Linked DNA regions of Arabidopsis thaliana. The protein of the gene in region 2 purifies or fractionates together with the protein of the main gene of each other region. This does not show direct contact. Each region holds a gene or a part of one and is shown on either strand. Other genes may lie near its edges.

Evidence for each region.
Region 1: the proteins of CDKB2;2 (region 2) and PMH1 purify together in Arabidopsis thaliana (affinity purification with mass spectrometry, with the first as the bait; one large-scale study listed by BioGRID). This does not show direct contact.
Region 3: the proteins of CDKB2;2 (region 2) and AT2G05830 purify together in Arabidopsis thaliana (affinity purification with mass spectrometry, with the first as the bait; one large-scale study listed by BioGRID). This does not show direct contact.

Annotation. Positions count from the first base shown.
Region 1 is NC_003074.8:7,885,622-7,890,706, reverse strand, and holds PMH1 (putative mitochondrial RNA helicase 1), read right to left. Parts: upstream 3,432-5,085; 5' UTR 3,326-3,431; coding exon 2,897-3,325; intron 2,797-2,896; coding exon 2,669-2,796; intron 2,581-2,668; coding exon 2,169-2,580; intron 2,036-2,168; coding exon 1,937-2,035; intron 1,835-1,936; coding exon 1,610-1,834; intron 1,529-1,609; coding exon 1,367-1,528; intron 1,279-1,366; coding exon 901-1,278; 3' UTR 554-900; downstream 1-553. Other genes in the region: RPS10 (ribosomal protein S10), read right to left, coding at 4,094-4,477, 4,629-4,970.
Region 2 is NC_003070.9:7,291,888-7,296,449, forward strand, and holds CDKB2;2 (cyclin-dependent kinase B2;2), read right to left. Parts: upstream 2,860-4,562; 5' UTR 2,778-2,859; coding exon 2,545-2,777; intron 2,164-2,544; coding exon 2,022-2,163; intron 1,934-2,021; coding exon 1,872-1,933; intron 1,780-1,871; coding exon 1,668-1,779; intron 1,536-1,667; coding exon 1,442-1,535; intron 1,355-1,441; coding exon 1,285-1,354; intron 1,194-1,284; coding exon 1,055-1,193; intron 961-1,054; coding exon 865-960; 3' UTR 621-864; downstream 1-620. Other genes in the region: AT1G20925 (Auxin efflux carrier family protein), read left to right, coding at 1-6, 86-138, 227-412, 496-620; AT1G20940 (F-box family protein), read right to left, coding at 3,387-4,562.
Region 3 is NC_003071.7:2,228,032-2,232,702, reverse strand, and holds AT2G05830 (NagB/RpiA/CoA transferase-like superfamily protein), read right to left. Parts: upstream 3,165-4,671; 5' UTR 2,945-3,164; coding exon 2,873-2,944; exon of another isoform or gene 2,793-2,872; coding exon 2,737-2,792; intron 2,663-2,736; coding exon 2,504-2,662; intron 2,421-2,503; coding exon 2,321-2,420; intron 2,236-2,320; coding exon 2,093-2,235; intron 1,903-2,092; coding exon 1,797-1,902; intron 1,528-1,796; coding exon 1,389-1,527; intron 1,294-1,388; coding exon 1,025-1,293; intron 945-1,024; coding exon 864-944; 3' UTR 554-863; downstream 1-553. UniProt on the Arabidopsis thaliana protein: Catalyzes the interconversion of methylthioribose-1-phosphate (MTR-1-P) into methylthioribulose-1-phosphate (MTRu-1-P).

The DNA of each region.
Region 1 (5,085 bases), on a different chromosome or scaffold from region 2:
ACTTCTTCCAGAGTATTACTGACTTCAGATCAGCTGTGGATGAGTGTTGACGGTTGTACAGGCGCCGTTCTTGAGTTTTTTTCAAAATGTCTCCAAATGGAGAAGCTGGGGGATGGTGTTGAGATGGCTACCATTGATTTGCATGCCCTTGTGGGTGGTGTTGACTGTTTTACTCATCTCAATGATTCTTATACCACCACCTGAACGCCTTTCAACGTTTATGGGATCTCAGCTTTGTAACCCTCAGAATCACCAAGTATGTGTACAAGAACCCGTTCTTGGGCCTATAAGACTGGATGAAACTAAATCTGGATTCACTGCAAAGGGGATCACACCCAAGGAGCTTGGTATTATTATGCTAGCTATGCAGAGCCAAGCCTTTTCGTTCAGCAGCTAGTTGCATGCTCTTGCTATGCAGTGCATCAAGTTTTGCGAAATGAAGGCTAATTAGTTGTGAAACATAAGAGTAATGCTTTTTGTAGTGAACAATAATTGTCGACTGTGTTTTATTTTTGTTGGTCAGATATGAGAATTAAAGCTTAAAACAATTTTTCTTGTGTATGGTTCTACCAAAAACTTGCAAGATCTAACAAGAAATCAAAACTAGGGATGATTTGAATCTTTGATCAACCACATTATTTCCTTTTCTCACAATCTAACAAGATTCATAAATGGAAGTGGCGAAGTAAGGGAAACACATTTCACTCAAATTGAGAAATAAAAATGAATTAGAGGATATGAAATAATGATATAACTTATGTTGGTTTATGAGACAAGAAGTAGCTACAGAATTTATATATAGCTCGACTCCTTGTAAACTACTCAACTCGAGATACCGAGTTCTCTCCTAAGTCAACTCCATTATTGCTGAGTCGGGTCAAAACCAACACAACACTTCTCTCAGTAAGATCTTTTACCATCGTTTGATCCAAACCCACCAAAGCTGCTCCTTCCACTTGACTGAGAAGAACGGTCTGAACCAAATCCTCCTGAAGAACCGCCTGAACCAAAGCTTCCGAAACCAGATGAGCGGTCTGAACCACCAGAGTAACGGCTGCTTGATCCCCCTGAACCTCCATAACTACCACCACCACCACCTGAACGGCCACTGCTGCCACCATAACCTCCATAACTACCACCACCTGAACGGCCACTGCTGCTACCGTAACTACCATACCCACCACCGCCTGATCGACCTCCTCCGAACGACCCACCAGATCTAGCACCTACTCCTTCAAACATGCTTGCGCTTCCTCTTTCCACAGCAATGCTAGGCAGCTGAATTCAAAACCAAATAGATTCAGAACTGTTTGTTACCCAAGCTATTCATACAAAAGATACAAAGGTGGTAAAGAAAGATATTAACCTCATTGAATCTGCTTCCGACTTCTTTCTCAATCATTTTAACAGCCCTGGTTTGATCTTGACCGTGGATGAGAATCGCGCTTCCTTTCTTTCCAGCACGACCAGTTCGCCCCGTTCGGTGAACAAACGTCTCCGTGTTATTAGGAAGCTCATAATGAATTACCTGTACACAAAGCACAATACAGGTTAATAAAATGAGAAACAGAACTAGTTAAGCGCAAGAAAAGGTATTGTTTTCACTCACTAAATCGACATTAGGTACATCAAGTCCACGGGCAGCAACATCAGTTGCAACAAGAATACTGAAATTCCCATCCCTGAAACCAGCAAGTGTTCTTTCTCTCTGAGCTTGAGATATGTCACCGTGTAAAGCTTCACATTTATAGCTTTTTGCCAATCCAAATGCAAGGCGATCTGCATCACGTTTTGTTTGGGTAAAGACAATGCATTTTCCTCCTTTGCCATGTTCCTGTAAAGGAGAAGATGTTATAAAATCACGACTGGAAACAAAAATGAAGAATCAAAACAAGATACAGATAATTGGCTTAAAAGCAAAGTAAAGAAAACATACCTTTACAAGAGGACCAATGATGGATGCTCTTCCATAAGAATCTGCAGCGATAGAATACATAGTAATCCCATCTGCAAGTTTCTGATCTGAATCTCCAACCTAAATTACATAAGAGTACATGTGTCATTAAAAAATGTCACTTCATTAACTACACTGCTACAGCCAAGATCAATATTTGCAATTTGTACAGCAATTCTAAGATATAAACACAAGCAGGTATAAGACTACTCACAAGATCAATTGTCAAAGGATTGTTCAGGTACTTCTTGGTGAGAGATCTGATCCAACTTGGCATTGTTGCAGAAAACATCATACTCTGACGCTTCGCTGGCAACTTCTGCAATATTATTTCAACATCTTCCGCAAATCCAACTTGAAGCATCTGATCAGCTTCATCAAGAACCACAAACTGAACCTCTGATAGATTCAAAGCTCCCCTTTTCATCAGATCAATGATACGACCAGGAGTTCCAACCGCCACATCAATACCATAGTTCAGCTCCCTCATTTGTTGCCCGATTGGTGTACCTCCATAGAGACAAATAGTATCCAAACTTGGAGCAGATTCCCTGAACTCTTTCTCAACCTGACGAGCAAGCTCCCTCGTCGGTGCCAAAACCAAGCACTGAGGATTCTTCCCACGACTGTCACATCAAAAGACAACATAAGAACCAAAGGAAGTGCAAATCTCTCAATCACAAATGATCGTTATATATAACAGTAAACACAAACCCATGTTTAGCGTTGAATTTGATGATTTTGTCAATAATAGGAATCCCAAAAGCAAGTGTCTTTCCCGTTCCAGTCCTTGCACGGCCAATCATATCACGACCCTCCATCGCTGGCTCCAACACAGCTTTCTATTCAACCAAACACAAACATCAAAAACTCAGTTAAAAAAATCTAAACTTTTAATTGATCTCTATAACCAAATGGAACAGAGAAGAAGATCATATATACCTGAATAGGAAAGAGTTTCTCAATACCCCTACCCTTCAAAGCTTTAACAATCTCCGGAGATATACCAAGATCAGCTATCGCAAGCCCATCACCACCACCGCTGCTACCAACACTCTCCGAATCTCCAATCCCTCCATCGTTCTCATAAGAAGGAGCATACTCTTGAGCCGCGAATCCCGCAGAAGAAACAATCGACGATCTAAACTCCGACGGTACAGATTTAACATGAAAGTCTCTCACTTTAACACCAAAAGGGCTCGAATTCGAAGGGAGAGACTTGACATTAGTAGCTCCATTTGCTAGATCGGAGACTGTGGCGGCGGCTGGAGCAAGGTTATGAAATAGAGCTGCGTTAATGGAGGTCACCGAAGCGGCGAGAGTACGCCTTGACGTACCAAGGATAGATCGGCGAAGTACTGTGCTAATCATTTTCAGATTTCAGAGAGTGTGATGGATTCTGGTGAAGATGAAATGTGAAACCCCAGAAATGAGAATTAGGGTTTTAGGGAGACGGCAAAAGGGTTTAGAGATTTAAGAAGAAGAATCAAAGGCGGGTATAAAGGGAACTTTGTTATAATCACCTGCGGGTGAGTGTATGGTATGTTCCTACACGTGCAAGCTTGTGTAAGGAAACAGAGTTGATTATTATTTTTTGCTTGAGCCCAAAGGTGTTCTTGAATGTGAAGCAAAGAGTTAATGAGTTCTGTTTTTTGTAACTTTGTGTAGTGTGGCAAATTGGCAATAGCTCAGGTTCGGAATCAGATCTATCAAATTAACCTATACCATATGTCTCAAATCATTAGTGATTATGTACAATGTAAAAGTCTTAGAATTGCCTAATGAATGAATACACCTAAAATGTGAGCTCTTGGATCCTTAAAGTTCGACATCATTCCATGGTCGGGTCAAAGGTTTCTATAACTTCTCAAAATGACACCTTTAGCAGTCTAAATGTGTCTCAATCCTTGGTGATGTATAAAGACTTTGATTGGCTAATGAATAAATGGAAAGCACTGTAACTGAAACTCAATTGTATCTTTCAAAATCGTCCAAAAACACATGTTTATACTAAGCAAGAAAATAACTACTTGATCTGATGTGAAGCAAAGCTGGTTTCATGGATCCGTAAGGTTCGAAATTATTGCATAGTACCCGGTTGGGTCTTGAAACTTCTACAAAATGATGTCTTTAGCCATCTCAGTAAGCATTGGTGGTGGAGCCATTGATGTTGCCTAACACTTGAGTCATATCCAAACGGGTCTTGCAATGGAACTGGAGTTCATATTGAGCTCCAAGAATACGATAACGTTTTAACCAAAACAGCTTCTTGCTCAACTCATGACTCTGAGCTTTGATGACAAGAAACCGTTTCTTGAACCTCATCTCAAACTGTTCTCTAGACTTCTTATCGACGTGAGGCGATCTTAGCACCGTGTACAGAGTTCGTGTATCGGGCATTGCGACTTTACGAGTGTGAGGAGGAAGACACCAAGCTTGCTTTTCCGGGTTAACAAAAGACCGAATCGCTATACAAATCTTTGTTCCTTTTATCTTTGATGTGCTTTCTTCTGCTGCCTCTTTCTACAATTCAACCCCAAACACACAACAACAACAACATAAACAACAGTTCTAAATCATTTCAATGAATTTCACATTCCGATTCCTATTCGAATTTGAATCTGATGAAGCACTTTGAATAATATTCTATGAATTTGAACAAAAATGCATATACCTGGAGAGCGATCTCCTTCCTACTCAATGGTCTGACATTGTCTGGAGAAATTTTAATCTTAGCTTTCTTAATCTCGTTTTTGCGATCCTTTGTGACAGTGGCGTAACCTTGTGACGCGATTCCTGCGGGAACAATCATCGACGGCTCAGATCTAATGTGGATGTTCCTCGCTCTGATGCCAAACGAGTTAGGAGACGACGCGAGAGTGAATCGAGAGCTGACGGAAGCTCCGGTGGTGGCTGGAGTGAGATTGTGCGAAATACACGAATTGAAGGAGGCTAACGCGGCGGAGAGAGTCTGCCTCGACGGGAGTGAAGATCGGCGCAATACTCCGGCGATCATTTTCAGATTCAACGGTGAGACGAAGAAATGACGACGAGAGATTGAAGGAAATCTGAAAAACCCCAAATTAGGGTTTCAGTGAAAGAGTAAGCGAAATCAGAGAGAATTGTGAGGA
Region 2 (4,562 bases):
ATTGGGGTATTCTACAACATATTAAAAATCTCACTTGTCAGTGATAATTAACAATGCTTACTTGAGTAGCTTAATTTTCTTGAAGGGACGGGGCGATTCCTGTTCTGACTCTGATTGTTGGAGGAAACCTTCTCAATGGTAGATAAACAATAACAAATGGCTGCAGAAACTTTTTTTCCTAAGACAAAACCTTAAATCTCTGTTCTCTCTCTTATAATAATCACAGGTCTGAGAGGTTCAGGAATAAACAAGTCAGTCATAATGGGTGTGGTGGTTGTGCGTTACTTGTTGCTGCCAATATTAGGAGTTTTCATAGTACGAGGAGCGCATTACTTGGGTTTGGTTACATCCGAACCGCTTTACCAGTTTGTTCTTCTGCTTCAGTATGTCGTTCCCCCAGCGATGAATCTTGGTTCGTTCTTCAGACTCACAAAAATACTACCAAAACATGTCATCACACTGTCTTTCTCATAAACTCACTTGACCTTTTGGCAGGTACAATCACTCAACTATTCGGATCAGGAGAAAGTGAATGCTCTGTGATTCTATTCTGGAGTTATGCCTTGGCTTCAGTTTCTCTCACTGTCTGGCCAACATTCTTCATGTGGCTCGTAGCCTGAACATCCACACACACACACTTACACAAATGGGAAACAGTTGCAAATCTTGCTACTTTGAAATATTAGAGAAACTGATATATTCTTTCATTGATAAAAATGTTGGAAGGTTATACAATTGGGAATAGAGACCCAATCAAAAGGGAATATTGAAACTTCAATCATCCTAAGATAGCAGATAAATGCTTGAGACAAGCAAAGACAGAGATAGAACAAAATATCCTATTGAGAGTTTATAAAGAGAGCCTCAGAGAGAGGACTTGTCAGGCAAATCATCGAAGTAAGGATGCTCCATAGCTTTCTTTGCTGAGATTCGTTTTGCTGGCTCGTACTCCAGCATTTTCTGTGCACAAAGAGAAACACAAATTAGTCTCAGCAGAGTGATTATCTACTAATCAAGCAAGGTCTGAGAGGTGTGTTAGACACTAGAGACTTACAGATAAGAGATCAAGTCCAGCCTCGTCGAGGTTTGGCACAGCTGTGGAGAGACTCAACGGTTTCCATTGCGGGTATTCATGCCAGTCCTTGAGTTTGCTTACTCCAGGCCAAACTTCTTCGTTTGGTGTTCCCAACAACCTGAGTTTGACAGGAAAGAAAGAAACAGAACAACCAAGTTAGCGAATGTCATGTTTGTGTCTTAAAGGTAAAGATGAACACAAAGACTTACCTGAATATACGGAGGAGCTGTTGGAGCTCAGAGTCTCCCGCAAAGATTGCTTGCTTGGTCACTAGTTCAGCTACACATCAAAAAGGAAACAAAACTGTTAGTTCTTGCTAGTGACATTGAACTGAAACCAGTGAAACTGTAAGAGAAGATTTTGTACCAAAAATACAGCCAACAGACCACATATCCACTCCAGTAGAGTAATGGGTTGCTCCAAGAAGAACTTCCGGAGCTCTATACCATAGAGTTAGAATCTGTTGCAAATGAAATCATGGGGGTAAAATCATCCTGAGTTATAACTCCAGATAAACTAAGATAGAATTAAAAAAAAAAAAAAAAACTAGAATGAAACAGGACTAATGTTTCATCAACGTAGACTTATATACCTCATGTGTATACTTTTTCATTGGGAGAGTGAAGGCTCTGGCTAATCCAAGATCTGCTATTTTGAGCGTCATTGTCTTCCGGTCCATCAAGAGATTGTGAGGCTTAAGATCCCTGTAATGAAACCAAGACAAGTAGGATTAGAGATCTGTGTCAAAATGGGTTATCTCAAGTCATAGTTCTTCCAAAACAAAGACGATTTTTACCTGTGCAACACTCCATGACCATGGCAAAAAGCCATGCCTTTGCATAACTGGTACATCAAGCACTGCAATTCAAGAACATGTTTCTCTTAGCTTAAAGGGGCTTATCGGATGAGAGAAAAAAAGCAGAACAAAATCTCCAAATATCCAAACCTTGACAGTATTTTGTGGAATGTTCTGTCCAGCTTGACGAAAGCTTCTGATGAATTTCTTGAGATCAGTATCAACATACTCGAAAACAAGGTAAAGTACAGTTTTTCCTTCTTTGTTTATTCCTTGCTTAACATCCATCAACCTGTAGAAGAAGATAATCATCATAACAATAATCTCTCAGTAGAAATGCAATCACCACAAAAATAGTTGAAACTGAGATCACAACACAGAGCTTCTACTTTGACATTTTCTAGTATTCGGATAAGATAAGGAACCCATTTTATCTCGATCGGACCACACAACAAATAGCAAACTGAAACTAAGATCTACCAGTAACACCTAAGAGCGACACTAAGCGCGATTTGCAGGAAGAATCAGAGTCATCAAATCAATTGAGACATCAATTAATCGGGACTAAACCCTAGAAATCGAAATTGAGTCCTAAATCCACAATCAAAACCAGTAAATCGGAGAATTTCAGAAAGTGACTGAACCGAATCAGAAATGTAAAAGGAAATCGAACCTAACGATGTGAGGATCACGAGCGAGCATACGCAAGATAGAGATCTCGCGAAGAGTAGTGGGAGGAACACCTTCTTCATCCTCATGGAGACGCGTCTTCTTCAAAGCAACGATCATCCCAGTAGCTTTCTCTCTTGCTCTGTAAACTTTCCCATAAGTCCCTTCACCTACTTTCTCAAGCTTTTCAAAGGCTTCCATGGCGGAAACAGCGGGTTTAACTCCATTGTTGTCCATCTCTATCAATCTCTCAAGACAACTCTTCTTCTTCCTTCGCGAATCTCAGATTTTGTTTTCAATTTGGGGAAAGAGAGAGGAAATGTAATTAGATTCGAGAATTGGTTTAAATAGGAAGGAGATTATTAAAAAGGTATATTCCCTCTTTGAGCACTCATGTTTTTTCAACGGTTCTTTTTTTCTTTTTTCAAAATTCAAAACTGGAGCGTCGTCATTAGTTTTTTTTTTATGTTCTGTTTTTAAGTGTGACGTGGAAAAAGTGAATAACCAATGTTTGTCAACATCCGGAGACGGTTTAGCTACACGAAAGGAAAAAAAAAAGGGGAGAGTTTGTTTTTTGGTCAAAAGGTGTGAGTTTGTTGTTAGATTCGACAAAACACACAAGATGGGCCTTTATTGGGCAGGACGAAAAATTGACAAGCCAGAGAAGAACAAGTTCTTAAACAACATTGTCTTAAATGATTTTTTGTCCCAAAAGAAATAGTAATATACAACTAATTTTTAGATTTGAAATACATAAACCATAATAGTGCAATGATAAAAGCAAATGGGAAACAAACATTCTTATAAATCAGGACATTTTTTGTATAATCTATAGGCCCTAAATGTTTACTTGGTGGTATCAATGAGTCCCATAATCGAATTTATATAGGAGATGCGTCGGTCATTAGAAGCAACAAGCACCTTCTGTTGCTCATCCTCCTCTACAAAGAACAAGGAGGGCGTCAATTTATAGAAATCTCGGACGCAATTGGGCCAAGCAAGGGTTGACACCAAAACTCCCCAACTGTTAGCTTCCATGTCGTACACATGAAGAACACTTGCCAAAGGTTCTAAACCCATCTTTTTCACCCTCACCACAAGACACTTGCCATCGTACATAGCTATGTTCCAATATACAAGCGTTTCTTCCTCGATAGATATGTTCTTGATCCGCCTTGTGAGTGTCCATTTGTGATTCTCGACAAGTGTGTAAACGGAGATTGTTTCTATCGTCCCCGAAATTAGGGTCAGGCGATTGATCTTAACGCTTTCCGCGAAAAGTAGCTTCGTATCCGGTTCCCGATGAAATATGGAAGGAATCAAGCATGCTTGCTCTGTCTCGGGATTAAAAGACATGATGCTGCCATCGTTTCTCAGCCAGTGAAGAGTGTTGTCCAAGTAAACAGGTTTCATCCGCGTAGTGAGATCACTTTTTGAGCTAGTGGTGATACTCGTTTCCGATAATCTCCAAGAGTCTCCTTCGTTGATCTCGAATCCGTATACGTTTTCCATCTCGAGTATGCCCACGATCTTGAATCTCTTGGTTGTTAGATTTCGATTTACCGCAAATCCAACGCACATCGCTCGTTCCGTACAAGCAACATTACCTCCAGGATAACTAATTCCGCTAAGACCTTTAAGTCCACCATTAACTATCATTGGTATAAGCTTTGATCCAGAATGATCCAGGATTCGAAACCTTTTTGTTAAGGGATTTGCAACAAAGAGACAACCAATGTACAATAGGAGAAGACCAGAGCATGAGCCGAAAATGTAACAATCCGCACTACCATCAAACAGTTCTACTCCATTTCCCGGTGACATATAATCGCATGAAGAGACCAAAGGATGGCAACATACATAAGTAGCGCCATAGCTACCAAGGTTAAACAAACTAGGTCTGACCCATGAAGGATATTCCGGTCCAAATCTTGGATCACTTAAATATGATTTGATAGAATTGTTAGTGCATCGCATCATAGCCATAGATTTGGGTTCTAATCTGAAGAGAATCTCGTCGAG
Region 3 (4,671 bases), on a different chromosome or scaffold from region 2:
TGTTCTCGCCAATATAATAAAATCACGATTTTGGTGGAAAATTTGCAGAATTACGTTTTTCCGTCAAAATCGTAAAATCGGAGAATTGTATTTTTCCCGTCAAAACCGTAAAATTTAAAAATTGCGTATTCCAGAAAATTGTGGAATACTATCTTTCCTTTAAAATCGTAAATAATTTAATAAGAAATAATTCATTAAAATTTAAAATTTTCAGAAAAGTAAAAACTTATAAATGTAAAATATATTATTTAAAAATTATTTAGTTGTAATTGTAATTAAAATTATAAAAATACAATTAAATGAAGACATGTCTATTGACTCAATTCATGCCCATGGGCAGCCCGTTGTCCATATGGTCAAGCCCATATTATCCGTGGACAAAACTGGTCATATGCCCAATTAGACCATTTGTTTTTTGGTCCAGAATATAGCTCGTCCATATGCATTTGGTCTAAAGTTCAGAATTATCAAAAAATTGATAAAGTCGAGGCATTTCGAATTGTTTGTTGACACAGAACAAGGAAAACCTCTGAAATTATTTCAATATTGACGGGTAGGAGAAACGGTATTCTTTTCTTAAACTTAAAAAAATAGAGAAATAAGAACCAAGTCAAGATGGACCGGGCAAGCCCATGGACAAGTTGTTTTACACTAAAACAAGTTGTTTCCCAATCTTCATTAGCATTAAACCCAAGACCAGCATTTTGGCTACCTACAATTGGCTAAAACGTATCGATTATTTCTTATTTTTGACAATTTTTACCACAGTGTACTTAGTAGCTCAAACATTACAAAGTAATTTGCTTTGTTGCAAGTATATAGAGAGAGGGGAACATCCGCAAGTCGCAATGCTGACTCTAACTTCAACGAGATGAGTTTCCTGTTATCTTCTTGGCAAAGCTGCTTATGTCAAATGTATCATTGCCATTCTTTGTTATGACCCCCTGCATATACAAACACGTTGAGAGATTCAAATAAATGAGCATAAATATCTTCCAGAACAAGCAAGGCTGGAAAAACGAACTTTCTCGGTTATGATTCCTGCAATCAGCTCTGCTGGAGTCATATCAAAAGCTGGGTTCCAAACTGAGATCCCTGGTGCTGCAATGCGTTCACCAAGTCCTCCGTGTGTGTGCATCAACTCCTTTGGAGATCTTTCCTCTATCACGATTTCTTTCCCGGATGAAAGTGACAGATCAACTGAGGTAAGAGGTGCAGCAACATAAAATGGGATCCCGTGATGTTTTGCGCACAAGGCGAGACTGTAAGTCCCAATCTTGTTAGCAGTATCGCCTGGAGTATATCAATGAATTGGTTAAGAAGTGATTCAGTCATAAGGAATCAGATTTGTGAGAGAAAACGGATTTATCTAAGGTGTTTGAGTGTACCATTTGAAGCCACACGATCAGCTCCAACGATGACACCATCAACACGACCATCTTTCATCAGTGCAGCTGCAGCTGAGTCTGCAATGAGAGTTGCAGGGATTTTCTCATGCACCAACTCAAACGCTGTAAGCCTCGATCCCTGTCAATTGCCATTTAGTCATAAATTCAAAAGACTTTCAACAACAGTTCAACAAGATATGAAAACTCTATAAAGCAATGGATTCAGGGAGCTGCCACAAGAAGTATCTGTCCTACGTTCCTTCATGGTTTTGAAGCTTTTACCACCGTTTTGATAAGAACACATATGTCAATATAGAGGTAATTATCGTCCCTAACAACTTAAGGTATTCTACGGATTCTTCTTCTTACGATATTGAGAAAGAAAAAGTATTAATTTAGGAGTTTTACTTGATTAAATGGACGAGTTTCTGTGCAGTATGCTCTTTCTAAGATTCCTTGAGTATGGAGTGCACGGATGACACCGAGGGCAGTACCATATCCGGCGGTAGCAAGGCTACAAAGTCAATAGAACTCGTAGTTAATGCCTTACTAGGAATCTACCACATAAACATAACACCAAAAACCATTACACAACTCTATTGGTTGAAGCTGCATACACATATGTGGTAACATGCTATTACTCAACTTGAGTAACTTATGCAGACGGTATCTATGCAATTCAGAAAATCTAGCTAAATCAATACCTGCCAGTGTTGCAATGGGTCAAAACAGAAAGCTTATCAGGATTCTTGGCTTGTTGCCTCAACAAGCTTAAACCAAAGTTTCCTATAGCTTTGTTTGAAACAACATCATCTTCAAGCATATCCTCACTAGCTTCAATATATGCCTGAAGAACAACAAGCACAGAGAATGAGCTAAACTTACAAAAGCAAAAGGCACACACACAGATGAATTACGAAACTTCTTGATACCTTGAAAATGGATTTGGCTTCGGTGGCAGTAGCCAAGGCCTTTGCTATAACATGTTTAAGTTTCAAAGCAGCATCTGCAAGATTAACTGCTGTTGGACGGCTGAAGAAACAAACATAAAAAGCAAAAGACATTAGAGTAAGCACCAAAGATGCAAAACTTAACTAACAAATCCAAAATCTAACCTTGACACTAAATAATCCAACTTGTTCTCAAGAAAAGCAACAGCATCTGAAGCTGATCCATCAAAACCATGAAAGTTGAAAACTTCAACAGCCAAAGAAAGAGCAGCAGCAATAGCTATAGCAGGAGCACCACGTACAACCATTTCCTGAATAGCACTCCTACCAAAAGTATCAAACTTTTTAAACCACAATTTTCCCAAAACAATCTCTAATCATAAAGGTAAAGACTTTACCATCCATCTGAAGCATCACGAATCTCTAAGTAAATAGTCTCTAAAGGAAGCTTCCTCTGTTCCAATTCAGACGAGTAAACAGATTTGAGGAAAAAAAGTATAAATTTGAAAACTTTATAGAAGTGAAAGAGAGAACCTGATCGAGTAACTGGAGAGAGCCAGGCTTGTAACAGATAGCTTTGAGGGTCGTGTCTCCTTCGCCGGACATGGTAGGACTTGTTGGAGAAATCTTGAAGACGAATAAGTTGTTTTAAAGATTGGTTTAGAGAAAGAGGAACAAAAGGAAAAGGATTTGTGTCAGTAGTGATAGTGAGAATCAGATAGATGCCTAGAGCACCAAGCCGGCGTGAAACACACCAACCGACGTCGTTTTGTCTGGAATAATGGTAGATATATTTTAGTTAATTTAGGGCGTGAAACAAGCTGGTTTTAAACAAATTAAAAGTGATTATTGTTTATAGTTCTTTAGGAGCAGACTGCTTATCTACCTGTAACCTTTTTAGAACACATGTGCTTTTAAAATATTTTAAGAAACTAATAGTAGTTCTTTAAATTGTAATCACTTATTGTTGTGGGTTAATACTTTATGATTATCTAAATATCAGTTTTTAAATTTTAATTTAATTTTAAGATTACTAAAATATTATTTGATTATATATCATATATGATTTAATGTTATTTAAATTAATAATCCTCCCTTTAAAATTGATAGAAGTTTAATTTTATTATTACACCCAAAATAATTTTAATAGAATATAAATAAATAAATAAAATATATGTATTCATAATTTCGACATATTTTGGTCGGCAAAAACCATAAGGCATAGTGATATACTCAAACTTCATCAATTTTATTTCGGGTGCTTACAAAAAAAAAAACTTCATAAAATGTATAAGGTTCCTTTAACTAATATTTTTTTTTTCTTTCAATGCTTTGTCAAGCGTTTTTTCCTCGATATCAAAGCCGGATTCAGAGTATTCGATTTCACAAAACAAAATTGTCTTTGACAATATCTGATGTGGTGATGTGAAGTCCTAAAGTATTTTTTTCCTTGGAATCCTGTGTAGATTGTAGAGCAGACAATTGAAAAAAATTATTAGTTTTATCATATCTCATTCTAATTGAACCAGTAATGAAAACGAAAGTGACTACTTCTAAATTCTAATTTACAAAAAAAATGTATCATAAGAAATATCGTAAACGCCTACAAATAGGTTTCATTCCTATCGTTTCTCATGTTATGATTAAAAAATTAATCATAAGAGATATGGATATGAACTATATATCAAAATAATGGAAGTAAATAAAGAGAAATGAAAATTATTCAAAATTACTTATGAAAACAAACTTTGGAGAATTAGGCATGTTTTTTCTATCTTGTTTGCTACAAATGATTGGTGAATAAGAACTATATTCCCAGAAATTTTTGGGATACCTTTAATCTCTCGTGTCTGCAAAATAGTCGGCACAACAAATAAAAAATACCAGAAAATCAGAATTATTATTAGTTTATCAACAAACAAAAAACGTTTCGGAAGCATTTCGACAAACAGTTGGTAGACAAAACTTTTAGCACACGTATGAGATGGTTTTAAAATCATTCGAAAAGGGCCAACGAAGTCTTTTCAACTACATATCCTTGTGATTATATATTTTTAATTCACGGTAACCAATAAAAAAAGTTTAATGCATTTTTATGAGTAATGAAAAGAGTAATTTGACAAGTGAGAAGTTAGATGTCAAACTAAAAATAAGCATTTCTTTTAGCTCAGAAAGTAATCATCTATAGTAGAAAAAGGTTTTTTCTGAACAAACAAACTCACAATGTTGTCAAATTTTCCTTTTTTTCTTCTGAATTACATTATTTCAATTGCCAAACATAATAGAAATTCATTATTCTATTTAACCAGTAACCAAACACACCTAAATTTATT